7 linked regions of the Ovis aries genome follow. The main gene of each other region encodes a partner of the protein of the gene in region 3 in a complex. Links are inferred from orthologs where the notes say so. Each region holds a gene or a part of one and is shown on either strand. Other genes may lie near its edges. The genes, in order: MED13L, MED8, MED25, MED19, MED16, MED31 and MED23.

The links.
Region 1: MED25 (region 3) and MED13L share a complex: the UniProt entries of both Homo sapiens proteins name them as parts of the mediator complex. The link is inferred for Ovis aries from reciprocal best matches to the Homo sapiens genes MED25 and MED13L.
Region 2: MED25 (region 3) and MED8 share a complex: the UniProt entries of both Homo sapiens proteins name them as parts of the mediator complex. The link is inferred for Ovis aries from reciprocal best matches to the Homo sapiens genes MED25 and MED8.
Region 4: MED25 (region 3) and MED19 share a complex: the UniProt entries of both Homo sapiens proteins name them as parts of the mediator complex. The link is inferred for Ovis aries from reciprocal best matches to the Homo sapiens genes MED25 and MED19.
Region 5: the proteins of MED25 (region 3) and MED16 are in contact, whole or in part, in a cryo-EM structure (PDB 7EMF), measured with the Homo sapiens proteins. The link is inferred for Ovis aries from reciprocal best matches to the Homo sapiens genes MED25 and MED16. Residues at the interface, in NP_112235.2 of Homo sapiens: Ala26, Asn27, Gly29, Pro30, Tyr31, Val74, Asp75, Cys76, Ala77, Pro78, Glu79, Val82, Cys84, His85, Pro87, Lys102, Phe103, Met104, Gly105, Gly106, Gly107, Gly108, Glu109, Thr120, Gln123, Leu124, Asp127, Phe128, Tyr151, Leu152; in NP_005472.2 of Homo sapiens: Cys41, Arg42, Ser92, Ser94, His113, Arg161, Lys163, Phe171, Gly172, Gly173, Lys174, Pro195, Gly485, Tyr486, Ala516, Ala517, Gln520, Val521, Thr524, Arg525, Ile554, Ala555, Ser558, Lys561, Ser562, Leu563, Leu564, Arg565, Pro566, His567.
Region 6: MED25 (region 3) and MED31 share a complex: the UniProt entries of both Homo sapiens proteins name them as parts of the mediator complex. The link is inferred for Ovis aries from reciprocal best matches to the Homo sapiens genes MED25 and MED31.
Region 7: MED25 (region 3) and MED23 share a complex: the UniProt entries of both Homo sapiens proteins name them as parts of the mediator complex. The link is inferred for Ovis aries from reciprocal best matches to the Homo sapiens genes MED25 and MED23.

The regions. Positions count from the first base shown.
Region 1 is NC_056070.1:58,903,897-58,907,521, forward strand, and holds part of MED13L (mediator of RNA polymerase II transcription subunit 13-like), read left to right. Parts: exon of another isoform or gene 1-1,912; coding exon 1,913-2,092; exon of another isoform or gene 2,093-2,702; coding exon 2,703-2,926; exon of another isoform or gene 2,927-3,625. UniProt on the Homo sapiens protein: Component of the Mediator complex, a coactivator involved in the regulated transcription of nearly all RNA polymerase II-dependent genes.
Region 2 is NC_056054.1:18,067,122-18,071,447, reverse strand, and holds the start of MED8 (mediator of RNA polymerase II transcription subunit 8), read left to right. Parts: upstream 1-1,493; 5' UTR 1,494-1,515; coding exon 1,516-1,521; exon of another isoform or gene 1,522-2,610; intron 2,611-2,856; coding exon 2,857-2,975; intron 2,976-3,981; coding exon 3,982-4,126; intron 4,127-4,326. Other genes in the region: KICSTOR complex protein SZT2, read right to left, coding at 1,311-1,337. UniProt on the Homo sapiens protein: Component of the Mediator complex, a coactivator involved in the regulated transcription of nearly all RNA polymerase II-dependent genes.
Region 3 is NC_056067.1:55,910,230-55,914,515, forward strand, and holds the start of MED25 (mediator of RNA polymerase II transcription subunit 25), read left to right. Parts: upstream 1-1,465; 5' UTR 1,466-1,560; coding exon 1,561-1,694; intron 1,695-1,787; coding exon 1,788-1,833; intron 1,834-2,303; coding exon 2,304-2,428; intron 2,429-4,286. UniProt on the Homo sapiens protein: Component of the Mediator complex, a coactivator involved in the regulated transcription of nearly all RNA polymerase II-dependent genes.
Region 4 is NC_056068.1:79,750,151-79,754,471, forward strand, and holds the start of MED19 (mediator of RNA polymerase II transcription subunit 19), read right to left. Parts: upstream 2,895-4,321; 5' UTR 2,862-2,894; coding exon 2,645-2,861; intron 2,587-2,644; exon of another isoform or gene 1,964-2,586; coding exon of another isoform or gene 1,864-1,963; intron 1-1,863. Other genes in the region: TMX2 (thioredoxin-related transmembrane protein 2), read left to right, coding at 3,320-3,508. UniProt on the Homo sapiens protein: Component of the Mediator complex, a coactivator involved in the regulated transcription of nearly all RNA polymerase II-dependent genes.
Region 5 is NC_056058.1:41,109,579-41,113,904, reverse strand, and holds the start of MED16 (mediator of RNA polymerase II transcription subunit 16), read left to right. Parts: upstream 1-1,502; 5' UTR 1,503-1,607; intron 1,608-2,376; 5' UTR 2,377-2,503; intron 2,504-2,856; 5' UTR 2,857-2,901; coding exon 2,902-3,034; intron 3,035-3,581; coding exon 3,582-3,689; intron 3,690-3,941; coding exon 3,942-4,111; intron 4,112-4,326. UniProt on the Homo sapiens protein: Component of the Mediator complex, a coactivator involved in the regulated transcription of nearly all RNA polymerase II-dependent genes.
Region 6 is NC_056064.1:25,114,804-25,119,135, forward strand, and holds the start of MED31 (mediator of RNA polymerase II transcription subunit 31), read left to right. Parts: upstream 1-1,531; 5' UTR 1,532-1,598; coding exon 1,599-1,626; intron 1,627-2,477; coding exon 2,478-2,555; intron 2,556-3,027; coding exon 3,028-3,124; intron 3,125-4,332. Other genes in the region: C11H17orf100 (uncharacterized protein C17orf100 homolog), read right to left, coding at 770-1,147. UniProt on the Homo sapiens protein: Component of the Mediator complex, a coactivator involved in the regulated transcription of nearly all RNA polymerase II-dependent genes.
Region 7 is NC_056061.1:57,013,096-57,016,720, forward strand, and holds part of MED23 (mediator of RNA polymerase II transcription subunit 23), read right to left. Parts: intron 3,439-3,625; coding exon 3,273-3,438; intron 2,712-3,272; coding exon 2,639-2,711; intron 159-2,638; coding exon of another isoform or gene 141-158; exon of another isoform or gene 139-140; coding exon 1-138. UniProt on the Homo sapiens protein: Required for transcriptional activation subsequent to the assembly of the pre-initiation complex. Component of the Mediator complex, a coactivator involved in the regulated transcription of nearly all RNA polymerase II-dependent genes.

The sequences.
Region 1 (3,625 bases), on a different chromosome or scaffold from region 3:
TGTCATCTTTGGATATGAAGAATAGCATGTTTTATTGCAGATGAGATGTGGGTTCTAAATTCAGATGCTGAAAGTACCAGACAGATCGTGTAAACAAATGATGTAGAGAGCTAGCTTTGCAAAAAAGCAGTGTCCTTCCACAATATCCTATTTTGTATGCATAGGAATACAGTTCACAAAGAATTGCCTCTGCTTTTATTTTTCTTTAACCTGTAACTCTCTTGGTCTGTTATTTTCCTGCATTGGATAGAACCATGGGTACAAGAAGTACTTTACTTTTTTCTTTACTGTAAGAAGAAAAGCAGCACAGGCTTGAAGATAAAGGAGGTAAATTCTGCTTCAGTCTCAGGCAGGCAGCAGAGGCAGGGGTGTCAAAAACTGCCTGAAGGAGGCAGTTCCTCGACTCCAAGTGGTGGTCCTCTGGCAGTGCAGTGGTCTCAGCCCCACGGTTGTCAGACCGTTTTCTAGTTTTTCAAGAGAAGCTGGAAATCCAGATTTGTGTATGAAATTTCATGAGAAGTCTGTTTCAGATTGAAAAATGAAAACAAAACCTCTGTGCCATGGATTTGCAACCTGTGTTTGATTTGAGGGTGCACCTGAGAATGTCTTCAGACCCTTCAGTACCGTGTGTCCCAGGCTTAGTTGGTAAATAGGTCACAGGTTTCCATCTGTGCCGCCGTCCTCGTCGGCCGGAAAAGTAAGAGCAAGGAGAGGTCTTGAGGACCCCAGCTCTGCGGGTGCATAGCTGACCACCTCCAACTTCAGTACTTATTTCTTCAGATCTTTAAGGGAATTTGATGAGCATTATGGACCCTCTCCCCTCCCCCCCCCCCACCCCGGGAAAAAATAACACCTGTGTTCATGCATGCACGTGCAGTTTGGGGAGAGTTTCAGAGGTTTCCATGTTCAAGGTTAAGGAGTCCTCCTGCTAGCAGGAAGAATGTGAGTTCTGAAACCGTGACTCCCTAGCTGTTCTAAGCTTCTTTTTAAATTCCTTTTTCCCACTCATCATATAATCAGATAAACATTGATATTTGTGAACAAAAGTAATTAAGAAACTGGACTTCCCTGGTGATCTAGTGGTTAAGAATCCATCTACCAGTGCAGGGACAATGGCACCCCACTCTAGTCCTCTTGCCTGGAAAATCCCATGGATGGAGGAGCCTGGTGGACTGCAGTCCATGGAGTTGCTAAGAGTCGGACATGACTGTGCGACTTCACTTTCACTTTTCGCTTTCATGCATTAGAGAAGGAAATGGCAACCCACTCCAGTGTTCTTGCCTGGAGAATCCCAGGGACGAGGGAGCCTGGTGGGCTGCCGTCTATGGGGTCACACAGAGTCAGACACGACTGAAGCGACTTAGCAGCAGCAGCAGCAGGGACTCGGGTTTGATCTGACCTGCCATGGGGCCACTAGGCCGGTGCGCCACACCTGCTGAGCCTGTCCTCGGAGCCTGCAGGCCGCAACAAGAGAAGCCACTGCAGAGAGAATCCCCACACTGCAACTAGAGGGCAGCCGCCTCCTGTTCAGGGCAGCAAGAAACCTGCGCACAGCAACAGAGACCCAGCATAGCCATACAGAAATAAATGATTTTTTGAAAAGTAAGAAACTAAAAGTAATTATGAAGCAATCATTAAGAAATTTTTGCAGCTCTCTATTCTTGTGAATACCCTTGGAAACAGGTCTCTATGGTTTTAAAAAGTCAGACGTATTCACCTTTCCACTATTAGGCAGTTCTATAGTTAGCCCCTTTTATTATTTCCAATGATAATAAAATTTATTATTTACTAAGTATCTTAGAGTCTGCCGCAAGTAGACTCTACTGCTAGTGACGTCTCCGTCACGGCCTGTCGCTGAGGTCGTGCAGCCTGCCTTGACGGGTCCTGTCCTGTGCTGTCATTTTTCTTGCAGTGCTGGACATCAGCATGCTGTCCTCCCAGGACGTGGTCCGTACGCTGCTGTCCCTGCAGCCCTTTCTCCAGGACGCCATCCAGAAGAAGCGCACGGGCAGGACCTGGGAGAACATCCAGCACGTGCAGGGGCCACTCACCTGGCAGCAGTTCCACAAGATGGCGGGCCGGGGGACCTACGGTAGGCCTCTCTCCCTTCCCACGTCCTTCTGGACTTTCTCTTCCGTGAGAAGAGCAGCTCTAGTTACTGTCAAGTCTTCCTTCGCTGACAAGATAGAATCTGTTCCCTCCTGACTACTACATTTTATAATCTCTCTGTTTTCCAATAGTCAGTTTTGAAGATAATTTTTCTTAATGTCTTTGGCATAATCAAGGTCAGTGGGGCAAATAATGCCTCACTAGACTATTTGCTAGAATCTCCTCATCCTCCCAGTCCTCACTGCCGTTTCATCTGGATGAGCCTCTGAACTAATTCTGTCAACTTCTTTGTAGTCAGGACCATAGTGTCTGTCTCAGAGGAAGGTAGATAGTTTTGTTTGGAGAACTAACACTAACCTGCTCTAGTCTGTACTCACTGAACCTTTATAAGCATGTTCTGACTCATTTAATTAAAGTTCTTCATCAGGGGCCATTTAATTAGAGGATTTGAAGACTACTTTTACGAGTATCATGTCAGCCTACAATAAAATGTCCGATGCCAGAATTAAGACAAATTGCCAGAGAATTCGCAGTTGTGGAGGTGGTGGGAAACGGACTCACAAGAGCTTTCCTAAACTGCAGTCTTGTTTTAGGTTCTGAAGAGTCTCCTGAGCCACTGCCCATCCCCACCCTGCTGGTCGGCTACGACAAGGACTTCCTCACCATCTCGCCATTCTCCTTGCCGTTTTGGGAGAGGCTGTTGTTGGACCCATATGGGGGCCACCGTGATGTTGCCTATATTGTGGTGTGTCCAGAAAACGAGGCCTTGCTCGAAGGAGCCAAAACTTTCTTCAGGGACTTGAGCGCTGTATATGAGGTGAGAAAGACACGAGAGGTGAGAGTCGTCTGTATGATGCAGGGCCTCAGGTTGCATCTAGTTGTGGCTAAATTTTAAAGGATAAATATCTTCAAAATAGATCGCCAGGAAAATTTGCACATAGTTGGAGGATGAAGAAAAGGATAAGTTGGCAAGTTTTTCAGGAAGTACATTGTTTTCCCATCATAGCTTTATATTTTATTAGATTGAAAAGATTTTCCTCTACCACCCTTACTAACACATCTTAAAATCCAGTCAGCTGTTTTTTCCCCCATTTATGTGCTTGAGTTTAAAAGGACTACTCACCAGGGGATAGTAATTGTTCAGAATGAAAAGAAAGTGCATCTACTCTTGGGGGTGGGGGGAGTTCCTGAAAACAGTATAAAAGTGTTTAGCTGGAAAATTCCTGAGTCACACAGAAGTTTAATGACTCATGTCCCTGTTATATTTTATTTAAACATCTTAATACTCATTTTGATACAGATGAATAATGTAATAATCCTAGTAATGTTAGATAATTTTGTATATTTAGTATATAAAGTCCTGTTACTTTTGAAAAATTAGAATCATATCTGTCTTTAAAGAGTTAGTGTACATTTCTGCTAAAGTACATATACACTAAAGTTTTTGTACCTTATACTCCTAATTAATCTTCATATTTGAGAGAAAATGAAATTAGTGTTTATAAAGTGTTTGGAG
Region 2 (4,326 bases), on a different chromosome or scaffold from region 3:
TTCTCATTTTAATCCACAAAACATGCTCCAAATTCCTTGAGTATTCCTCAGTAATGGTATTTCTGATGCCTAGGCTACTCCACCAGCCCTGTGAGCACATTTGATCCTTTTTAATAGGGTAGTTTCCTACAGTTGTATTTAATCTTGGATCTCATTACATCAAATCCTAGCACTGGAGATTTACCATCCTGTGGCTACTTTCTCTTTGCACTGTAAACATTATGGCTAAGAACACAAGATCACAAGGGACCACCTGTTTTGGAGTCCTGGCTCTGCCACTTACTAGCTGTGCAACTTTGTTACTCTTAAAACCTCTGTGCCTCAGTTTCCTCAACTGAAAAATGGGGATAAGTGTCTACTGTGTAGGGTTGAGAGTAATCTTTGACATTGGTAAAGCGCTAAGATGGTCTCTGGGACACAGTAAGCATTCGATAGGTAAGGATTCAATACATGATTATACACCTCTCACCCTTCCCATCCACTCACATGTTCTCCTGTAACATTGGGCAACTCTCCTAGTGATGTTTTCTTTCCAAATCTGACATTTTAGACTTCTAATTACAAAACTCTGCCACTCCCCAGCTGAGAGTAGCACTTGGGTAAGGTACTTCACTTCCCTCGATTTTTAGTTTGTCTGTATATGGAAATGGGTATTGTCACCTTCCTTGCACAAGTCTGAACCACACAATGTATACAAAAGTTCCTTGCATGGTCCTTCGTACTTAATGGATGCTTCATTTGCATTTTCCCATTTAAAACGTGTGATCCTCACAATAGACCTGAAGATAGATATTTTACAAAGAAGGAAACAGGATCCGGGAAGTCAAGATTTGCCCAAAGTTGCACAGATAGCTACAGGGCAGCGCCAATACCAGAACGAGGTTTCACTCTGAATCCAACGTTTTTTCATGAAATCTAAGCTGCTCTCCAATTGCATGAGCGCTAGAACCTAATTAATTTATGCTGTTTATGGCATTCCAATAATATTTGAATGAGGCAGCAACCGGCAAACCTGCCCACTGAAACTGCAACAGAAGATCAAAATACAGATTTTCTGAATGCCATTACGAGGTCAAAGAACCCAAGAGCCCTAGAGTAGAGAATCGTGGATTAAATTTCGGCAAACAAAACTGAGCCACGAATTCCTCCTCTAGGCCTCCCCGAGGAAAGTAGGGGTGAGGAGATGCTACTATTGGGCCTTCAGGAGGGCCAGGCGGCCCCCAGACCCGGAGGAGGCCACGGCCGCGCCTGGCCGCCGGACCCTCCCCCTCGGATCTACAGGCCCAGCGCTGCGCCCGCCCGCCCCTCACCTCCGGCTCCGGGCGCTCCGAGGCCATCACACAGCCCTCCCGCGCCGGCCCGGGCCAGAGAAGATGCTCCGCTCCTGACCCCTGACCCGGAGGTCTCGCGACTGGCGGGGCCGGAAGTGAGTGGGAGGGTCGAGTTCTGAGCTTTCTAATTGGCCTACTTGGGAACCGGAAGAGGAAGTGATTGACACCGCCCCCCGCCGCAGCAATGCAGGTGAGGACCGGTTTGGCGCTAGCGACGGGTAGCTAGCTTGGGGTAACGAGACAGAAAGTGGGCTGGCCGAGGAGAGAGTGAGGAGTTAGGGATGAGAGGACTTGGTCGAGACCGCGACTGTGAGATAAAGGGACGCGCGATGGGGACGAGGACCTCTGGAGAGGGATAGGGGTGGAGCCCGGCTGACAGGAGACAGAAACTGCGGTTAGGTTGGGACGGAGAAGGCAGCACTGTCTTGCTAGGGTGTGGAAAAAGGATCAAGTTGTTGATAGGGTGTGGAAAAGGATCAAGTTGAAATTTGGGAAGGTGCAGTCCAAGGAAGACGGCTGAAGAAAGAGGTGGATTGGGCTCGGGCTCAGGCCCCGGCCTAGACGTTGGATGTTGACAGAACAGAGGATCTAACTGGAGAGAAGCCCGAGGGTGGAAGGAATTGTGGGACCGTGGTGGCCAGAAGCCAGACTAAATAATCTGAGGCCGTGGGTGGAACCCGGCTCGTGTCCTCCACATTCGGGGTTTTGCAGTTCTGTTTCATTCTTCCTAGTGTGTACCCCTAGTAGTTAAAGGGTGAAATGAGATAAAACTGGAGACCCCTCAGCTTTTAATATAGTTTGCCTAGTGCTTAGGGGCATGTGCGGTTTGGTTGCTGTTTTGTTTTGTTTTTCATTTGTCACTGTTTGTTGCAGAAGGGTAGTTGTCAGTACATTTTTATAGGTTGACTAAGCTTGCGAAAGGGGCACAGGAATATTGGCACAGCAATAAAGTGAGTGCAGATTGATTTAGCAAGGAGGAGGTTGAAACAGCAAATGCTGAGGGAAGAGGAAGGTGACGGTGGCAGTATTCAGAGGAGCCTTCCTGTATAGGTAGGTTTTCAGAGATTATGTCATTGCCAAGAACAGCCAGGTTCACAAGGCAGGTTCTAGAACATAGGACGTCAGAGTACGTCTGCTGCTGAGGTGTGCCGAACAGAATAAATCCCAGGCATTACGTCTGGTGAAAATTGTCCAGTGAGGGAGAACAGATACAAACCAAGCCTAATATAGAGAAACAGTCACGCCCGGATTAAAAGCGATGAGAGGAAGGAATCAGTAGGTAAGAGGAATTGAGGTCAGATGAATGGGTTTTAAGGTCTAAGGGTTGATGCTGTCTGTGATCCTAACTCCAAATAGGGGTGGAGCCCGGCTGACAGGAGACAGAAACAGCCTGACTGTCCCTGTGCCAATGAGATTCTGTGTCACTGTCCTGGTGTTGCACACTGTCACCCTGGCTTTTCAGCCTTCCTCTATATGTGTCATCCTTACACTCAGCTGAGTAACCAACCTATTCCTATTGGCTCAGAGGGAGGAAAAACAGCTTGAGGCATCATTAGATGCACTGCTGAGTCAAGTGGCTGATCTGAAGAACTCACTGGGGAGTTTCATTTACAAGCTGGAGAACGAGTATGACCGGCTGACCTGGTAAGAGTTGCCAGGGCAAGCTGGGGAGGGCTCTATGGGTGGGGGCTAGGCCACCTGCTGCACAGGGTACCTCCTCCAGCATTTATCACTTTGTGAACATCTTTTGATTTAGAAAGAGCTGGCTTTCCCAACATTTAACACTGAAGTTGGCCTTGGACCTCAACTTTAAGGGTAGTAGAGAAATGCCCAATTTCTCAACCCAGGTTCTTTCTAGCTTTTGATTCTCCCTGTTTGACTTCTCCAGGATGAGGTCCTCCTGCAGTGGGTCCTCCCACCACAGTATTCATACTGGATTTCTTGCACGGGTTTTGCCAAGTCTTTTAGGTCCAATCTAGGAAAGTTTGGATCTGGAAAGGGATCTTTCACCCGGTTTCTGAAGTTCTAGTGATAATAGTGTAGCCATCGTTCCTATTTTGCCATTGTCCTCACCCCATTCAAATGTAGTAGCTCCTCGTGATCTATCAGGGGTAAGTTCTAAGACCCACTGTGGATTCCCGAAACTATGATAGTACTGAATCCTATTCTGTATATACTGTGGGTTGTTGTTTTTTTTTTTCTATACTACTTGTGTGGGTACCGTATACGGTATGGATATGCTGGACAAAGGGGTGATCAACATCCTGGGTAGGACAGAGTGGGATGAAGCAAGATTTCATCACACTCCTCAGAACACCTCCCAATTTAAAAACATGGATTGTTTATTTCCTGGATTTATCATTTAATATTTTTGGACTGTGGTTGACACGGGTAGACGAAACCTCAGAAAGTGAAACTTAGGATAAGTGGGGATTGCTATAATGACCTGTTTTTTTTCTCCATCTGTGTCAGAAACTCAAAGTGTATCCCTCTTTCTTAACCCCATAATCCCTGCGAGCCAGTCTAGTTCCTGCCCAGGCCAGCATAGGGCTATGAGTGTTTTGGGGGTGAGTCTGGTTATTCCTAGTCCGAGGGACCCCTTTGAGGCTCCTTTACCAGGAACATGCTGACATCTTCTTACCACCACCAGGCCATCTGTCCTGGACAGCTTTGCCTTGCTTTCTGGACAGCTGAACACTCTGAACAAGGTCTTGAAGCATGAAAAGACACCACTGTTCCGCAACCAGGTCATCATCCCTCTGGTGTTGTCCCCAGACCGAGATGAAGATCTCATGGTAAGAGGAGGAGAGGGATGCAGCTTAGGAAACAAAGCCCTTAAATGAGGACTGACAGCACAGTGGTTGGTTTCTATCTAGAAATTTTGAATATGCAGTAGTGTGTGGCAATAAGTGGGGGCTACATTTTGGAGGCCTTGCTTTTTGTCCTTCTGTCCTATTTCAATCTTTGATTAAAATGTGGTAGAGAAGGGTTTATC
Region 3 (4,286 bases):
AGAAGGGATCTGCTTTAGATTTAAAGGAATTTTAAGATGTCTAAACACAGGTTCAGTCATTGTTGGATCTTGATGCAAATAAAACAATTGTAAAAAGACATTTTGTGAGAACTGGGAAAATTTGATTATGGATTTAAGTGTTCGACAATACCAAGAAGTAAGAATTTTGTTAGAGATGTTAATGGCATAGTGGTTACCTGCAACTTTGGGGAGATGCCTATCCAGCAGGTAGAGGTAAAATGATACGATGTTGGGATTTGCTTTACAAGCGTTCAGCAAAGAAAATAAAAGGATCAATAAAGTACATGAGACAAAACAGTGATACTGCTGAGTGCAAAGCAATGCACCCTTTTACCTTGAAATATATTGACAAACTGCATTGGAGCAAGCTGTTTTGGTTTTCATCTCCACTAGATCACGTCTGAGCCTGCTCATTTCACCCAAACCTTCCCACCGTCATGGACTTATTTTTCCAGCATTAATTAACATGACAAAGATAAACTGACTTATCATTGGACCCTGTGTTAGCACTTACTAACTTGTGCATATGAGCGACTTTCAGTATGTTTTTGCGTACAGGAAAAACCTGCTTAGTTTCCTCCCCAATTAAAAAAAAAAAGTATTTCTGTTTTCCTAAGTTTGTATTGATCAGTAATACGTATTTGGGTAGTAAATTTCTGTCAACACATGTTACAGTGACTTCCGCAGTTTACCGTATCGTTTTCAGCTTGGTTTATGAAGTCTTCTGCGGACAAACAGCTCAATATTTTCCGTGCTCTGGCTTTGCTGTAATGATAAGAAACTCTTCCCCAGTCTTCAGGATTATACAGTGTTATGGTTTCATTTGTTATATTTACATTTTTAATCCACCTGGAATGTATTCATGTTCTAGGCCAGTTTCTGGCTCTTCTCCCAGAAAACAACTATCAGGTGTTGCTTAGCAACCTCCACTCGGGTTAGAGTTCGGCTTCTTTTAGTGGGGAAAAAACAGCTGCACTCCTTTCAGAGTTGATTGCCACCTTAAAGCGTTGCCTAGTAACCCCGTTTTAGACGTTGTGATTGGACCCTTCACACGACCCACCCACCCCCATCCCCCAAGAACCAGTAAGAACTTAACTAGAAACCTAATCTGTCTTTTTAGGAAAACAAGGGCAGCGTATGCGTTGCATAGCAACCAGGTCTCCCGGCCCTTCCATTGAAACCGGTGTCGGAAAGGTCGCCCCCCCCTCAAAAATGGCGTCTGACGCGCCGCTTTCAGTATATTTCGCCCTCGAAAGTTCTGCAAATAATTCAAGCTTCCACCTCTGGTCCCCGAAGGAGTTCTCTAGGTCCTTTTTGAGTCTTGCACACACTGGGAGCGAAGGAGGATGGAGATAAACCCACCCGCCCCGGGCGCCCCGCACAAACATGGCCGCCAGCGCGCCGCCAGCGCCGAGAGGCCGTCCCGCGCGGGGGCGCGCGCGGCGCAGGCGCACTTCCGCTCAGCCCGCGGTGTCTGAGGCGGCGGCGGCAGCGGCGGTGGCGGCGGTGGCGGCGACGGCGGCATCTGCGGCGCGGGGCATGGTCCCCGGGTCGGAGGGCCCGGCCCGCGCCGGGGGCCTCGTGGCTGACGTGGTGTTTGTAATTGAGGGCACGGCCAATCTGGGGCCCTACTTCGAGGGGCTCCGCAAGCACTACCTGCTCCCGGCCATAGAGTGAGTGCCGTTTCCGCGGCCCCAACCCCGCCCTCCGAGTTTAGTTTTCCACACTCTCTCCTCACCCCGACCTTTCACTTCCGACCCTCACAGGTATTTTAATGGCGGCCCTCCTGCCGAGACGGACTTCGGCGGAGACGTGAGTCTTGGAACTCTCGAGTTTGAGGGAAGATGGGAGTCCGGACTGGGTCTGCGGGAGGAGGGGGCGGTACCTGAACCCTGGGCCCGAGGTGGGAGGGCTCGGGTCCGGACTCCGGGGTCGGAGGCGGGAGGGGCTGGGGTTTGGACACCTGGGTCCGAGGGGCTGGGGTCGGGATTTGCGGGTCCGAGCGGGGAGGAGCTGGGGTCTGGACTCTGGTTTCCAGGAGAATGGGGCTCGGGTTCTGGGGCTGAGGGAGGAGGGACTGGGGTCCGGACTAATGGGTCCGAGAGGGGAGGAGGCTCAGGTCTTGGGTCCGAGGCGGGAAGGGCTCGGGTCCTGGGTCTGAGGTGGGAGTACCGGGGTCCGGACCCCCGGGTCCGAGGGAGGAGGGGCTGGGAGCTCCGATTCCCCTGAGGGAAAAAGGAGCTGGGTCCCAGATGAAAAGTTCTCCTGTCCTCCCCTCCCAGTATGGGGGCACCCAGTACAGCCTCGTGGTGTTCAACACGGTGGACTGCGCTCCAGAGTCCTACGTACAATGTCACGCTCCCACCAGCAGCGCCTATGAGTTTGTCACCTGGCTCGATGGCATTAAGTGAGCTCTTTTCTCGGCTTCCGGAAGGGTTGGGGGAACCTGGGAGGGACGGCAGAGGAATGGTGCTGCCGGATCCAGCCCCTCACATTGGTTGCTAAAAAGGGCTGCGATGGGGGTTGTGGTTTTGTCCCTAGGTCACTTCAGTGGTCGGTTCTGTATGCTCAGCTGGTGTTGCTGTCTGGCTTGGAAGTAGAAAGAATTTCCTGGTCAAGGAGGCCTGGGGAAGTCCAGCACCCGTCCTACTCCTCATATATTATTCTCCTTTCTGTCTGTTGCTTCTCTTGTCTACTCTAGCCCTTCTTTTTCCTACTAGGGGCACTGAAGCTTGAGCGCAAGAGGGGTGGGGCTAAGCCTCTGTGCTTTGGAGTCAATGTTGATAGTTCACACTGCAGGTGCAGACAGCCTGGGGCCACTTTTCAGCTCTACCACAACAGGACTGCCAGACCCACGAGTCCCTGTCCTCTGTGTCTAATAGAACTCATCTCTAAAAGGGGAACGGTAATAGTACTTATAGTCATCCTGTTACTTATCCAGTGTTGGGAAAACAGATTAAAGCTTAGTGACTTGGAAATTCTCTGATGGTCCAGCAGTTGGGACTCTGTGCTTCCACTGCAAGGGACATGGGTCTGATCCTTGGTGGGGAAACTAAGATCCCACATGCTGAGGGGCACAGCCAAAAAAAAAAAAAAAAATTAATTTAGTGGCTTGTTTCCTTAAGTAAGGAATTCAGGGGTGGCTTTGATGGATGGTTCTCACTCACGGTCTCTTGTGGGATTTCAGTCAGATGAGCTGGGACCGCAGTCATCCAACTGTTGGATCGGGACCAGAGGATCCATTTCCAAGGTGGCTAACCCTGTGGCTGTTGGCCAGAGGCCAACTTGCTAGCTGTTCCTTGCTAGCTGTTATTCCTAAGATATCTCTCCATGGGGCTGCTTGAGTGTCCTCCCAACATGGCAGTTGGCCTTCCTCAGCCTGAGCAATCCAACAGAAAGAGCAGAAGGAGACTACAAAGATTTTTATAATCAAATCTTAGAAGTCACACCATCATTTGTGTCACATTCTGTTTAGTATACAAGTCAGTTCTGTTCAGTGTTGGAGGGGGCATGAATACCAGGAGATGGTGCTCAGTGGAGATCTAGTTCCGGTGACACTATAGGGGACTTTGGGAATCAAACGAGTTGATGACTGTTGAGAACAGTGCCTGACACGATTAAGCGCTCCCTCAGCTTTTGCTGTTCTTTTGTGTTTTGGTTTCTTGGTCTGCAGAGGGATAACGGTAGTCCATATCAGCACTCAGAGAAGGGTCACAGAAGCTAATCTTCATACTGTGTTCAGCTCAGGGTCTGGTCAGAGTCCATTAAACAACCGGATTCGTGGGCTGCTGTTATCTGCAGCAAATGTTTGTTGAACACTTGGTTTGTTTCAGGCTTCACGTGCTAGACCAGGCACTGCACATTCACTTTCCCCCCTTATGGTTGTTAGAATTCATGGTCAGGGCAGAGCAGGGTTTCTCAACCTCAGCACTGTTGACCCTTTGGGCCAGATGATTATTGTATGTGTGTTGTGGAGGGGTGGGGGGCATTCCTGTGTGTTGTAAGGAGTTCAGTAGCATCCTTGGCTCCTTCCCCCCCAATGCCAGTGGTCTCCTCCCTCCCCAGTGTGATAAACAATAAAAACAAAGATGTCTCCAGACATTGTCAGATGTCCCTTTGGGGACAGAATCCGCCCCAGTCGAGAACCTCTGGAACAGATTGTGGTGAGACTTGAATAATGTGGAATGGGGGCTCCTTGAGGTTCAAGTCCAAGTCTGATGTCCCTCAAGTTTCTAGCACCCAGCACAGGGCCTGGCATGAAAGAG
Region 4 (4,321 bases), on a different chromosome or scaffold from region 3:
ATCTTTAGAAGCTGGAGTCAGTTCAAAAATCTTAATGGTTTCCCATTCCCTCAGGAAAAAGCTCAAATTCCTTCAACTTGCATTTGTCGTTGAAGGTATAAACATCCTACTGAAACATCACTAGCTGGAATCAAGATTGCTGGGATAAAGAGCAACAACCTCAGATAGATGACACCACTCTAATAGCAGAAAGTGAAGAGGAACTTTGGAGCCTCTTGATGAGGGTGAAAGAGAGTGGAAAAGTTGGCTTAAAACTCAACATTCAGAAAACTAAGATCATGGCATCAGGTCCCATCACTTCATGGCAAATAAAAGGCGAAAAAGTGGTGGCAGTGACAGACTCTATTTTCTTGGGCTCCAAAATCACTGCAGACAGTGACTGCAGCCATGGGATTAAAAGATGCTTACTTCTTGAATGGAAAGCTATGATAAACCTAGACAGCATTTTAAAAAAGTAGAGACATCATTTTGCCGATAAAGGTCCATACAGTCAAAGCTATGGACGTGGGATGAACTGAAAGATGTCCCTGAGACTAACATGTATGTCTAAAATGACTCCCGGTTTCCACCTCCTCAAACTTGTTCTTGCCTGACCTCAGCACTACCATCAATCCTGTTATTCAAGCCAAAAATTCGAAATCACCCTCAATTCCTCTCTCCTCCACTTCTATATTCAATCCTTCATTCCTGTCAGTTCTACCTCTAACATTTATCCTGCATCCATTTACTTCTTTCCTCCATTGCTATCGCCTAGTCTAAACCACCTCTTTCCTGGACCACTAAGCAGTAACATTATTGAAAGGGGGATTTTTGTAGAAACTAACGCAATAATTAATTCAGCTATTTCACTACCACTTTGCATTATTACATTCAATAGTTACAGCTGACACACCTGTAAAGTCTTCTCCAGCACCATGAGTTTCATTTTCACTTTCCGTATCAGAAAACAATCACTAAGGTTTTCTGTCTCTTTGTTGGTCTAATAGTCACATCATCTGAATCAGAACTACATTCGGAACAACTATCATCTGCTGCTGCTGCTGCTAAGTCGCTTCAGTCGTGTCCGACTCTGTGCGACCCCATACACGGCAGCCCACCAGGCTCCCCCGTCCCTGGGATTCTCCAGGCAAGAACACTGGAGTGGGTTGCCATTTCCTTCTCCGATGCATGAAAGTGAAAGTGAAGTCACGCGGTAGTGTCCGACTCTTAGCGACCCCGTGGGCTGCAGCACTAGGTGCTGCTCGGACAATAAGAGAAAGTATCTGCATAAAATTCACTGAAAAAATTTTCTTCATTCAAAACTGCATGGTGTGTCACTTTTTAAAATTTTATGAAAATAAACTTGTGTTTATAAGGTACACAAGGTTGGAATAAAAACCTAACAGAGCAAAATGTGAATGATAATGTCAATGATAAGCTGTATGATGAATCCTTGATCAATTTTAAGCTTTAACAACTTCCCACGGTGATGTTAATGGTTTCACTCTCTAAAAAAGGTATTGACATGTTTCTGGTCAATAATATGTTAAAATCTAAATGTCTAACACAGGCCTCTGCCTACACTCTCACTTTATCTATCACTCCTCTGTTCACTTCACTGGAGTCCAGCTGATCTTCTGTTCCTCAAACATTACAAGATTTTTCTCACATTGGGGCTGTTGATTTCATTTTTTTTGTATCCAGTTATTCCTTCTCCCACTCATAAATGGCTAGCTCTTTCTCTGCGCTTACATTTTAACTCTAAAGTAACCTACTCAGAAAGAGCTTCTCTGATCACTCTAGCTAAAGCAGTTCAGCTCCCTTAAATCTTATCACATTTTTTTTTCCTACAGCCGTAACTGCTTTGTGATTTCACCCTGTTACCTTTTGCCTCCTCCATGGGCACGTAAATTCCCAAACAGGCAAGGATCTTGTCAGCCTTATTCACAGTTGTATCTTCAGTGTACAATAACCCCTGGTACATAAAATAGGTGCTCAACGAAATAAGTTTTTGAATGAAAGAGTCTGGTCCAATTCTATTCACTTGTTCCAACAGATGAGGAAAGGCCCAGGCCCAGAGAAAAAAGAAAGGCAACAAACCAACAGGAAGTCGGAAGCAGATTTGGAACTAGGTCCGCAAGGATGTTAAATAAGGACTCTCAAATTCCAAACTTGAACCCTGGGTGCTTTTTCAGTTAGCCACTCAGTCGTGTCCGACTCTGCGACCCCATCGACTGTAGCCCTCCAGGCTCTTCCGTCCACGGAATTTTCCAAGCAGGGATACTGCAGTGGGTAGCCTTTCCCTTCTCCAGGGTTCTTCCCACCTGAGGGCTCAAACCCAGGTCTGCCGCATTGCAGGCGGATTCTTCACCGTCTGAACCTCCAGGGAGTAACTTTTAGGGAATCATAAAACCACCATCAGCTTCAGAGACAGGGCGGAGCGTGAAAGGCGGCCACAGAGACCCATTCTTCTCATTCCCAGTCCATCCTGAGGATTCCTGTCGTGCCTTTGGCCTTGAATTCGCAGTCGTTTCCGACACGGAGCTCCGAAATCCCCGCACGCGCCGCCCGGGCTTCCCCTCACCTCCCTCGGCATCTAGGAGCCACGCCCAGCCCCACCTCGCGGCGATCTGATTGGCCGGCTTCGGCCGGGCCTCGGACTCACCTGGCAGCTCCCTCATTAGGTAGAAGGGGCCGCAGCCTGCCGCCGACTTGTCGCTCCCGGGAGGGGCCGAAGCGGCGGTCGGGGGCGGGGCCGGGCCGGGCCCCCCGCCCGGAGGCGGTGGCGGCGGGGGGGGCGGCTTTCCGGGTCCGAAGCCGAGTGCCGCTGGGGGAGGTGGCGGGTCAGCCTGGGCCCCGAACAGCGCCGTGAAATTCTCCATCGTCCCCTCTGCCCCGGCGCCGTCCCGGTGTCTGGCGTTAATGATTCTCATTGGTTAATCTTTTCACGGGGTACCGCCCTTTTCCTCCAGGAGTCGTTTACCATTGGACTGCCTCTGGCCCTGCCTACCTTCTTCCGGCAACGACTTCCGTCGCCTTCTGAGAACGTTCAGGAAATACTCCTTAACATTATTAAATTTTCCGAGGCCTCCGCTCGCAGCAATCGCTTAACCAATGAAATGACTTAGGTAGTAAAAGCGACAGCTAGGTTAGCCAATAGCATATCAAATCCCTCTCTCACCTCCCTTACCTGCCGTAGAGGGCCAATCAGAGATCTAGCTCCGGGTCTAGAGGCGGGCCATCTGACACTTGGCCCAATGGAAACCTTCAATGGTGAGAGAGGCGGGACCAGACCTACGGAAGCCGAAGAGAGCGGCCGGTGCCTCAGGGGGCCGAGAAGATGGCGGTCCTAGCGCCTTTGATTGCTCTCGTGTATTCAGTCCCGCGACTTTCACGATGGCTGGCTCGACCTTACTACTTTTTGTCAGCCCTGCTCTCTGCTGCCTTCCTACTCGTCAGGAAGCTGCCCCCTGTCTGCGAAAGTCTCCCCACGCAACGCGAAGACGGCAACCCGTGTGACTTTGACTGGGTGAGCGACCCTCCTCGGGACCCCACGACCTTGACTGTCCCCGCCCTGGTGGTCGCAGCCGGGAGCCCCGAGGGACCGTTTTGAGAACGCCTCAGGTTCCGGGCCTCTTAGCGGACTTGACAGACTGCTAAGAGTGTAGGGCGTGGATTGTTACCGAGCCTAACCCTCCTCTTGTTTAGGGTGAGAAAGCAGCCGGTTAGCTCGCCCAGCAGTCTCAGCCTTCTGCCTTTTGAGGCCAAGCTCCTTCCCACCTCCCAATCCATGCTCGACCAGAGTCTTCCCCAGACTGGGCCCTCGCACTCTCTTCCAGTGTTGCTCGTTAATAAAGAACCAGTGAGTTGTACAAGGCGAGTAGTATTTGTAGTATTCTCGTTTTATTGATGAAGAAACGGATCTTGGCGTAGTTAGGAGACTCGTCCAAGGTCACACAACTAGTGAGCGACGAGGATTTGCAGCCACTCTTTAGCCACGGTAACAGCACACAGCCATTTCTTAAAATCAAGTTAACAGTCTCTCAGGGCGGACTGTGTGCTGGGCTGTGTGCCGCATACTGGGGATGTAAAAATAAATAAAATTGTTAGGCCTATGGAAATGGAATTGTAAAAAAAAAAAAAAAGAAAAAAACGCTGTAAAGAAATCTGTCTCAAGCCTCTTGGAGTTCTCCCTGAACTGGAATGGAGGGACCACTCAGAAAAATAACTTGAGGGGCTTCCCTGGTGGTCCAGGGGTTAAGACTGCACTGCCTTTGCAGGGGGCCTGGGTTCCATCCCTGGTCAGGGAACTAAGATTCTGCATGCTTTAAGGGGAAAAAAA
Region 5 (4,326 bases), on a different chromosome or scaffold from region 3:
CATTTCTCATGATGTACTCTGCATAGAAGTTAAATAAGCAGGGTGACAATATACAGCCTTGACATACTCCTTTTCCTATTTGGAACCAGTCTGTTGTTCCAGGTCCCATCACCTCATGGCATATCGATGGGGAAACAATGGAAACTGTGACAGGCTTTATTTTCTTGGGCTCCAAAATCACTGCAGATGGTGACTGTAGCCATGAAATTAAAAGACTTGGGAAAAAAGCTTGACCTTGGGGAAAAAGCAATGACCAACCTAGACAGTGTATTAAAAAGCAGAGACATTATTTTGCCTACAAAAGTCAGTCTAGTCAAAGCTAGGGTTTTTCCAGTATAGATGTGAGAGTTGGACCATAAAGAAAGCTGTGCCCCGAAGAATTGATGCTTTTGAACTGTGGTGTTGAAGAAGACCCTTGAGAGTCCCTTGGACTGCATGGAGATCAAACCAGTCAATCCTAAAGGAAATCAGTCCTGAATATTCATTGGAAGGACTGATGCTGAAGCTGAAACTCCAATGCTTTGGCCACCTGATGTGAAGAACTGACTCATTGGAAAGGACCCTGATTCTCGGAAAGATTGAAGGCAGGAGAAGTGGACAACAGAAGATGAGATGGTTGGATAGTATCATCGAGTCGATGAACATGAGTTTGAGTAAGCTCAGGGAGTTGGTGATGGACAGGGAAGCGTGGCATGTTGCAGTCCATGGGGTCGCAGAGAGTCGGACACAACTGAGCGACTGAACTGAACTGAGAGGACCGGCTGGGGCTCAGGGCACGGGTGGGGGGCCCAGGGCAAGCCCACAGGCTGCCTCCAGACCCACGCGGACTCCGTCCTGTCCAGCTTCCTGGTTGGCTGTGTAGATTCTCCACACACCGCGTCCCTAGACAGCCCGGCCCCCAGACCTTTGCCCAGATGTTGCCTGCTCTCTGTCATACCCTTCCCTGCAATCAATCCTATGTCTTTCTGGAAAAGACCTTCCAGACTGGGGAGAGTCCGACAGCTTTTGGAGGAGGAATTGAGGATGGAGACTGATTCTACCGGCCCTTGATGGGTTGAGTTACCTGGCTTATAAGCGAGTTACACGTTGGCTAGACATCGTGATAAAAAGCGAAAATATGGAACGCTTCACGAATTTGCGTGTCATCCTTGCGCAGGGGCCATGCTAATCTTCTCTGTATCGTTCCAATTTTAGTATATGTGCCGCCGAAGCGAGCACAAACCACGAACAGACGCCAGAACTATTTATAGTAGACAGAACCAAATACTTTACGCTGAGGGCGAATTCTATCAAAAACCAATACAGCAATTTTCCTTTTTTTTTACTAACTTAGTGCAATAATGGCCTAATCTAAGGGGATTATTCACTTAAATTGAGAAAGTTTGTTTTTTCCATCAAATATAACGCAGATGGCTGTTGGAAAGGCACGATTGTATGCAAATTACCCCGGAAGCGGGGCGGAGCCACTGAGGTCCCAGAAGTCTCCGGGAAGCAGCCGGGCTGCGCGGGAGACTCGTTGGTCCTGGGAAGATGGCGGCGCCGGAGCCGGGGCGTTAGAGCGAATGCAGACGGCAGCCTCCTTCTCGGTGGGCGTACAGGCTGGTCCAGTGAGTGTGGGGCTGGGGGCTTGGGCAGTCGGCCAGCCTCCGGATGGCGCCGACGCTGCTGGGATTATGGGTCGGAGCAGGGCCTGTGGAGTCAGAGGGCGGTCCTGGAGAGCAGAGGGTGCTGGGTACGCTCCCTGAGGGCTCTGGGCGTGGTCTGGGGGGTCGTGGCGGAAATTTGGGGTGACCTGAGGCTCCCTGCGTTGGGCGGTGTAAAACCGGGGAGGGCCTAAGGTTGTACCTCCCCGGGGAGGGCCTGGGATGCATTTGAGGCGGGGCTTAGGGACTGTCGGGTGGGTTGGGGCGGGTCCTGGGTGGCCAGGTGGCCAGGTGTGTGGAGGAGGGGCTTTGGGATTGTTTTGGCGACTTTGGAATAAAAACAGAAGTTTAGGCCGGGCCTGGGGACGCCAGGGACAAATTGAGAGTGAGGTCTGGAAGGCACATTTTGTAGGGGCGGGGCCGGAGGGCTTTGGGGGCAGAGCTTAAAATGACTGTTGGTTGGGCTTGTGGGCGGGGTGTCAGTGTTCTGGGGCGGGGCTTTAAGAAGCAGCGGGTAATGTGATTGGGAAGGTGAAAGGAAATAACCTTAGTCGCGGCTGGGTGCAAAGAGCCTGCTGAGCAAGCTTTCACTGACCCTTTCTGTACCCCTGGAAGCCAGGCCCCAAGTTGCTGCCTAACCCCCACCCTGCCTCCCTACCTCTGTCTAAGGCAGCCTCACTGGTTCTCCTGTGTCCTCCTTAAGAATAGACCTGGGTGCTACCTCTTGTCGCAGCTTTCACTGTCCCCGTCACTGTACACCTGGACCAGCGCCACCATCCATTCCCCAGCCGTGCCCTTCAGACAGCCAGAGGGGCCTGTGAAACAGAAACAGGCTTCTTGGGGCTCCCATCTTCCTCCTGGTAAAACCCCCAGGCCCTGCAAGACCTGCCTCATCCCCTCCCCAACCTTACCTTGCTTCTCGCCCCCACTCACTCTGTTCCTGCTCTGCAGGCCTGGATACTGCTTGAGCATCCCAGGCTCAGTCAAGCCTCTGGGCCTTTGCACTGGCTGTTCTCTCCTCTTGGCATGCTCTTCCTCCCAGCTGCATGGATTGATCCCTGGCCATGCTTGTGTAAAACGCAGTTCCCTGGCCACACACAGGGCAGGGGTTGAGTCCACTTTGTCCCCCGTGGTAACCAGCATCCACCACCGCACTCGGGGCCCTGCAGGCACCCTGTGAAGATGGATGACAAGCCTGTCTTCCCTCCTGTAGGAGCTGGTGACCGTCCTCCCTGTGTGACCTTGGCAATTGGGCACCATGGACCTGGCTTACATCTGTGAGTGGGAGAAATGGCCCAAGAGCACCCACTGCCCATCCGGTCCCCTTGCCTGCACCTGGTCCTGCCGCAACCTCATCGCCTTCACCACGGACCTGCGCAGCGATGACCAGGGTGTGCCACCCCCATCCCAGGCCCCCTCATAGGGCCCTCCCCCCAGCTCCCATGGGGTTTCCTCCTCTGAGACAGGGGTGCTGAGGGGCACAGAGATAACCTTGAGGAATGGCCGTGTCTGCAGGGCTGGGGGAGAGGGGGTGGTGGCCACTTATGGCTTGCTGAAGCTCCTGCAGGAGTTTTCCAGCTGCACGTGTTGCCACCAGCTTTGCGGTGCACTCTGCCGCAGGGCAGATATTCTTCCCACCACAGAGCAATATGCACTTCTTAGAGGAAATTAGGAAAACGTGAAACTTTAGGATGAGGAGAACCCTAACCTTTCATGGAGAGACACCCGCTGTTAGTGTTTTGGGTCCATTTTTGAAAGCACAGTTGTAACCTCACAGAAGGCCATGGGTCTCCCCTTGGGCTGCCTGTGTATAAATCATGTTTCTGGAGTCCCTGCAGCCTGGCTTTAACGCTTCCTGATAGGCTTTGACAGCCCAATCCCCTGGGGTGGTCGGGCACCAGGCCGTGGTTGCCACACTGACCTCACTGTCCCTCGCAGACCTGACCCGCATGATCCACATCCTGGACACTGAGCATCCCTGGGACGTGCACTCCATCCGCTCAGAGCACAGCGAGGCCATCACCTGCCTGGAGTGGGACCAGTCTGGTGAGGGCAGCCTTCCACCCTGAATGCCAGGGCTGCCTGCTCTGTCTTCCTGGCCTTAGCCCTAGGCTCAGAGCTGGGACTTGAAACCCTGACCTGTGCCTTTGAGGCTTCTGCTCTTCTCGCCCCTGTTTCTGAACTCACCTGTGCTGGTCCCTTGCTCTACGACTTCTACATTCCGGCCCCCCCACCCTGATGGACGGCGGGGATGGGGCTTGTGATGCAGATTTGCCCAATCTCCCACCTTCCCCTCAGGCTCTCGTCTGCTGTCAGCTGATGCTGATGGGCAGATCAAGTGCTGGAGCATGGCTGACCACCTGGCCAACAGCTGGGAGAGCCCCGTGGGCAGCGTGGTGGAAGGGGACCCCATCGTGGCCTTGTCCTGGCTGCACAACGGTGTAAAACTGGCCCTGCATGTGGAAAAGGTGGGTGTCCTGCCTGGGGGAGCAGGCCTCAAGCCCAGGGAGGGCTTGGCTCCTCCTCTCATGGTGCCAGGTTGTCACACCTGCCACCCAGTTGTCAGCATCTGTGTTGCTAGCATCTCCCACGTGGTTTGACGTGGTGACAGCCCTTGGTTCCTGTCTGTACCCCACGGTTCAGCCCAGTGTCTCCCTGAGAGGGGAGCCTCCTGGGTCAGGGT
Region 6 (4,332 bases), on a different chromosome or scaffold from region 3:
GGTTTCCTTTCCAAGATTATTCTTGATTGTTGAGGTCGACCTTCACTTTTCCCTTTGAACTACATGTGACCTCTATTAAAACCTGTGTGTATGGCTACCAGGCACAAAGACTTGGCATAAAGAGAAATATATTGAAACATAAACACAAGCCAAGTAATTAATTAAGGAAAGTCTGTTGCTTGCAACTCAGGTTTGCAGCTGGCATATAATTCCACTGATTATGATTTGTTTGCTCCTTGTCCCTAAGTTTGAAGCAGCCAAGGTCATTCAGTGAGTGAGTGATAGTCGCTGAGTTGTGTCGAGGTCTCTGTGACCCCATGGATTGTAGCCTGCCAGGCTCCTCTGTCCATGGAATTCTCCAGGCAAGAATACTGGAGTGGGTAGCCATTTCCTTCTCCAGGTTTGAAGCAGCCAAGGTTATTTAAAGGGCCCCCAATTCAAAACTCACCTGCCTTGGAGGCTCAAACAGTCTCTTTTCCATCAGCTTAACACATACAGTATCTAGAGCCTAAAAACTTTTTATGCTGGCTTCAAATTAAAATAGTTCACTGGGTCAAAGGCTTGCCTTTGGTCCAAGGTGCAGGAGGGTCAATGAATGTTGGCTAAATCCCGAAACCGCAGCTTGGCTCTTTCTTAAATTGATCTGTGGACTGTTTCCAGGAAACCAAAGATGATCGGTCCACCTGGCAGCAGGCAGGCTGCGAACTGGAGGCGATTCTGCCCTGGCCAAGGGCCATGGCCCCCTCGTGGCCCCGAGGAAGGCAGCATTTCATCGGGCCTTTTGGATGTTATGGCGGGCGGCTGGCTTCTCCCGCCGCGGCGTGCTCTCCACGCGGTGCACAGACGTCTCCACCCGCAGGGACGAGGCCCTGACGTGGCGGGAAGCCGTCTCTGTGAGCTGCGAGGCGGTTTCCACGTGCTGGGAGGACACCTCGAGGACTCGAGGGAGCCGCTTCCCAGAGGAGGAGACGGAGGGTCCCTCGCTGCTGCGCTGGGTGGTCTCCACCTGCCGGGAAGATGTCCTCACGTGACGGTAGGATGTCTCCACGCGGTGGGACGAGGTCTCCACGCTGACCGTCGCCGTCTCCTCGGAGCGGATGGATTCCGCCCGGGCCGGAGAGGGCTTTCCCCGAAGGGGTGAGGCCATCTTATGGGGGTAACAGGGCCAAGCTGACCTTTGGAGGCCCCACAGCCCCACAATCCCCGAAGGATTATTTTATACGGTGAGGAGCGACGTCACATGCCATTGTGATGCAGGCAGAGCGGTGGTCGAGGGTCCCGCGAACCACGTGGAGGCACCGTGATCTTGGGGCGGGGAGGCCTAAGATTCCTTGGGAACGCTGGGTTCGTCCCCTCGAGAGCGCCGTCTGCCCCCGCATCGCCCCTTAGCCTGTCAAGAACCTGTCCGGGTGGAGGCGGGGTTGGGGCGGGGCGGGCCCTGGATGGGCGGAGCCACCCGCCCCCTTGCGAAGCTGTGCCCACCCCCGCATCCCACACTGCCCCGCGGCAGGAAGGGGACGCTGCGACTTCCGGACCTTCCCTGTTTCTCCGATCCTGGCTGTGTGGGGTTGCTGGGGACTTAAGAGTGTCTGCTGGTGATGGCCGCGGCCGTCGCTATGGAGACAGGTGAGTAGCGCTCTGAGCCTCGCGTTTTGTCAAATAGAAACTGTCCCGGGTCCAGACACCTGCTTCCCGGGATTTTTTGAGAATCCAGGCCCAACTCCCGGCAGAGTGAGTGATCGGAGCGGGAGGCACCAGGGTTTTTTTTTAGCGACTGGAAGGGCGAAGGTAATTTGGCCTTTTCAGAGTTTGTTTTGTTGGCCGATCCTTTCTCCCCGTTAGTTATTCAAACAGTGGCCCCACCGGCTTCCAGAAGACTAAAGGAGAGATTTTGGATCATAAACCGCTTCCTCGAGTTGTTTTTTTGCATCTCAGATGAGCTTGCCTAAGTTTAAAATATCGTCAGCGAACTCTTGTATTACTGTGCCACTAACGGGTCTCACGTAAGCACGCGTTTCTTGATACTCACCAGGGTCTCTTTCATCTTGCATTCTGAACGTCTCTTGATGGATTTAGCATTTTGTTTTTGCTAAGCTTGATCACTTAACAGCTTGTAACGCACTATCAAAATAAGGCAAGGCACATTGCTGCAGCTTATCCTAGTGATCACTGTGAAGTCCCAACATGGTGGCTCACGAGTGATTAATGTTCTGCTCCATGTATAATCTTGTTTTCTTTGATAATTTAACTTTAGATAAACCTTTTTTTTTTTTTTTTTTTCTTAATCAGGGCTTTGCTTTCCTTAGACTTATAAGGAAGGTGTTTCTCCTCCTACACCCAGTTTAGGAAAACCTTTGCATGCTCTTCTTTATGTAACTCAGCATTAGTCAGATGTCTGTACTGCTGTTTTCTGTCTAAAAATCAGTATTATATACAGTGACATTTATTTTGGATGATTTTGCTATCTTCTCTCCTAGATGATGCTGGAAATCGACTGCGGTTTCAGTTGGAGTTGGAATTTGTACAGTGTTTAGCCAACCCAAATTACCTTAACTGTAAGTTGTTGAGCACCTCATTGAAGTGAATAGCTAGTTACGATTTCTGATAGAAGAGTCAAAATTCATAGTACTGTCAGCCCTTTGTATCCTTGGAGGCAACCTCAGTTGGTGGAATCTGCCCATCCTGAGGGTGACAATACTGTCATGGCACTATGTTGTTTTGTACAGGAGATTGGAGCACCTGTGGATTCTCGTGTCTGCGGGGCCTCTTAGAACCAACTCCCTGTGGATTCTGAGAGATGACTTTAGTATCTAGTTTTGTACATTCTTAACTGAATGGAATGACTGTTGCACTTATACTGGTATATATAATTGAGCAAACTGGGACTTCTGTTTTGAATTCAGTGTGTGTTGGTGGTGGGAATGTTATGTAAGTAAATTCTTTACGATTATGTTAGTCACAGATCAGTAGTCCAAGGACTGGTGTGCTCTACAGATGTATTTTTTTTTTTTTTTTTATGCCTTTCAGTTCTTGCCCAAAGAGGTTACTTCAAAGATAAAGCTTTTGTTAATTATCTTAAGTACTTGCTTTACTGGAAAGAACCAGAATATGCCAAGTATCTAAAGTAAGTTTAATTTTTATAGTCCTAAACATGTGTGTACTTTTATTATATTCCAAAGCACTGATATTTAATAGACTTCTTACTTTCACGTTGGAAAAAATACCTGTTGAATCTCTGCTCTCCTTTCAGTTGCCTCCATTTTAATACGAGACACATCATCTCTAACTTAACTGGGATTACTGCAGTATCTACTCATTGGTATTCCTCCTTTCTCCCTGCCCTGCCAAACAAAGAAGAAACATTTTCTGCACAGAAGCCAACTTGGTCTCTTAAAAATAGAAATTACATTCCATTAGAACCCTTTGGTCGCTTCCCATTGCATGCAGAAGAAAATCTCGTCTCTTAGCCCTGTGTGATCTGTCCCTGTCTTCTCTGACCTTATCTTGTACCACTCCCTGCATCTCACTGAGTTTCTGACCTCAAGGAACCCGCAGTCCATATATGCAATGACAGCCATAGCCTGAAAATGAAAAAACATAGAAAGAGGTACTTACTTGTAAGCAAGGGTTTCTGGAGAAGGTAACCGTACCCGAGTCTTAATAGCTGCTTTCTTATTTTATATATCTTACATAATAAATACATGAATTTATCATTCAGGTTGTGCAATAGATACTCTCGTTTTAAGGCTTACTGAAATGCAAGGAGCATATTGTAATCACAAACATTTCTTTTTAATGATAAAAAATAAGCCTTGAACACCCACCTCTGCTTTGTCTTAAATAGGTAGTCAAAAAGCAGTGGTGAAATGTCTAGCCTTTTTTTTCCCCTAAACAGACACAAGTTTGAGAGGAGAATGTTTAAGACTTGTACTTTGGCCAAGCCACTTTTCTCTGTCTAATAACAGCTGCTTTATGAAGTCCACATCCTCCTTTTGCCTGTGGGACCCTTTCCACCCTTACTGGCCCTTTATAAAAGAACCACTTATTCATTTAATAATCCAGAGAAAATATATATATTTTTTTACTAGATTGCAACATGTTATATGTATGTATTATAGACTTAGAGACTCAGTGTTGGACACTGAGCCCTGGACACCGTCAGGTTCAATTTTACCCACAACATTGCTGAGATGGTCATCTGTATACTGGCTGGAGGTTTCTAGTGAACACATACTAATTCAGGGGCAGCCAATTCCGTTGTTAGCTAGATTCCAGAAAGTTCCTCCTTGTATTATTGTGTCCGACTCTTTGCAACCCCATAGATTGTAGCCT
Region 7 (3,625 bases), on a different chromosome or scaffold from region 3:
CATCTCAGAGTAGGACTGATGACAAGCGGTGAAATCGAAGAGCCGGAACGGATAGCCGACCCACTCTGTCTCAGACGTCAAGCTGGGACTGCTGATAACACTCACTATTCGATCGTGAAGGACAATCCAATATGGCTCCTTTAAAACCAAGAAAAAGCCTGAAGAAAAACACCATTTCTCTAGTAATCCACTCCATATCCAGTATTCTACTTCAAAAGCCTAAAATAATAGCACTTTCTCATTCTTTAATGTTTTCTATTTATCCAGCTTGGTGGCTTCACAATGAGTCAAATTAAGTCAATAACAACCTGGGGAGAAGTGTCTGTGAGTTAAGAGTGCTCCAGACATGAGTCTGTCTAGTTAACTTAATAGCTGATATTTACTACATGGTAAATTGACTTTATCTATACTTACTATACAGGTAATGCTGGTACACAATTACAATTCACAAATATGTAAATATTTTGGAGGAGTGTAAGGAAAAAGTGATTCATAAAGATGCATAATAAACAAGTTTGGAAAGCACAGCTTTAGACAATATTACTGACACTCAAAGATGTCAGACATCTGTGTGGTACTGACTAGATATGTGTGGAGGTCACAGAGGGAGACACGGCATGAGTGGAGAAGGTATAGAAGGCTTCGCTGAAAAAGCAAGCCCTAAGTTAGCAAAGAATGAGTATGCTTTAGGGAAGGTAACAGAAGGAAAAGCATCCTGGTATATTCTCTTAGATGGCAGAAGTACCAGAAAAATGTCTCAACAAGCATCATTTGCAGGAGGAAAGGATAAATTAGAGATACCAAGGGAACATTTCATGCAAAGATGATCTCAATAAAGGACAGAAATGGTATGGACCTAACAAAAGCAGGAGATATTAAGAAGAGATGGCAAGAATACACGGAAGAACTGTACCAAAAATATCTTCACAACCCAGATAATCACGATGGGGTGATCACTCACCTAGAGCCAGACATCCTGGAATGGGAAGTCAAGTGGGCCTTAGGAAGCATCATTACGAACAAAGCTAGTGGAGGTGATGGAATTCCAGTTGAGCTATTTCGAATCCTAAAAGATGATGCTGTTAAAGTGCTTCACTCAATATGCTAGCAATTTGGAAAACTCAGCAGTGGCCACAGGACTGGAAAAGGTCAGTTTTCATTCCAATCCCAAAGAAAGGAAATGCCAAAGACTGCTCAAACTACTGCACAATTGCACTCATCTCACATGCTAGAAAAGTAATGCTCAAAATTCTCCAAGCCAGGCTTCAACAATATGTGAACCGGAGATCAAACTGCCAACATCTGCTGGATCATCGAAAATCAAGAGAGTTCGAGAAAAACATCAACTTCTGCTTTATTGACTATGCCAAAGCCTTTGACTATGTGGATCACAATAAACTGTGGAAAATTCTCAAAAAGATGGGAATACCAGACCACCTGACCTGCCTCTTGAGAAATCTGTATGCAGGTCAGGAAGCAACAGTTAGTAAAAGACCTGGAACAACAGACTGGTTCCAAATAGGAAAAGGAGTACGTCAAGGCTGTATATTGTTAGCGTGCTTATTCAGCTTATATGCAGAGTACATCATGAGAAACACTGGGCTGGATGAAGCATAAGTTGGAATCAAGATTGCCAGGAGAAATATCAACAACCTCAGATAGGCAGATGACACCACCCTTATGGCAGAAAGTAAAGAAGAACTAAGAGCTTCTTGATGAAAGTGCAAGAGGAGAGTGAAAAAGCTGGCTTAAAGCTCAACATTCAGAACACAAAGATCATGTCATCTGGTCCCATCACTTCATGGCAAACAGATGGAGAAACAGTGGAAACAGTGGCTGACTTTATTTTTTGGGACTCCAAAATCACCGCAGATGGTTACTGCAGTCATGAAATTAAAAGATGCTTACTCCTTGGAAGAAAAGTTATGACCAACCTAGACAGCATATTAAAAAACAGAGACATTACTTTGCCAACAAAGGTCAATCTAGTCAAGGCTATGGTTTTCCATTAGTCATGTATGGATGTGAGAGTTGGTGTGTGAAGAAAGCTGAGCACCAAAGAATTGATGCTTTTGAACTGTGGTGCAAGGGACTCTTGAGAGTCCCTTGGACTGCAAGGAGATCCATCCAGTTCATCCTAAAGGAAATTAGTCCTGAATATTCATTGGAAGGACTGATGCTGAAGCTGAAACTCCAATACTTTGGCCACCTGATGCGAAGAGCTGACTCATTTGAAAAGACCCTGATGCTGGGAAAGATTGAAGGCAGGAGGAGAAGGGGATGCCAGAGGATGAGATTTGAGTAAACTCCAGAAGTCGGTGATGGATAGGCAGGCCTGGCATGCTGCAGTCCATGGGGTCGCAAAGAGTTGGACATGACTGAGCGAGTGAACTGAACTGAACTGAAAGGATCTAGATACATAATATGTTAAGGGGTCAAAAATAGATCAGATTTTAATTGGAAAACTAAGGTTGGATAGGAGTGGGACCAAGGGATGTAGGGACCCATAGTCAGGTAGGTTTATTTAGATCTGATGCAAAAGAGGCACTGTAGATTTCAGAAGTAATAATAAAGTGAAAAAAAAGAAACATTCATTAGTTGCATGATGACCTTGTTTAAATCACAATGATTAACTTACTGGTAGCGCAGTGATGATCAATCCAATGGCATTCATCCATGCTGTAATGTTCTCTCTTGGCACTAAAGGCTGACTATTAGTTGGGAAAAAGAACAAAAAGGTGAAATTATAAAAACATTTTATATGGTTGCCACTGTATCTTACTTTGAGAATATATATAATTTGGGGGCTGACAACTGATCTGTTTCAGTAAAACTACAATGGGTTTTTAGTGAGTAAAAATATAAATAAAAGCTAAATAAGGCTTCTCAATTTTTTCAATTTTCTTCTTTAACAATGGTTGCTGAGCTGAAAGACTATTTCACTACTTTACATTTATTCTCCAATCATTATCCCCTACTTTATACTGGCCTTTAAGAAGAAAATCTTGAAAGACTGTCTTTAGGGAGAAGTTAACATTATTCCTAAGTTAAATGTCAAACAGCTAATAAAGAGTAGAGTAGAACAAATCCAGGTTTTCTGGCTGTTCAGGGCTCATTCCATGTCACCTTTATCACTAAGACAAGATCTGGAACCTAAAGATACTCACTATTCAATGTGCCCTGGCCTTGGGGCAATGGGTGTGTCTCATAGCTCCAAATAAAATATCATTCTCTTAAACACTGAATCTTATGGCATGAAACAGGATACACACCTCTTCAGGACAACATTTAGAAGAGCATTTCCAACATCCTGGCCAGAAACAGCCAAGGCCATGAGTTCCACACAAGTAACATGCAGTGCGTGGGCAGCGGGGTTGGGAAACTCATTGAACCTCCAGTCACAGTTTGGGAATGGACCAGGAGATTTGCCAGCCATCGGTGCAGACGATTAAAGCAATAACTGGTTGATAATTCTGAGATTAAAGGCTCCTGTTTGTATAGTGCTTTATAGTTTTCAAAGGTTCAATATGTAAATATTTCATTTGATTATCAATATATCTGATTATGAGCCCTCAATAAGTGATTTATTGGAGAGCTTAAGAGGCAAATAATACAAACTGAATAC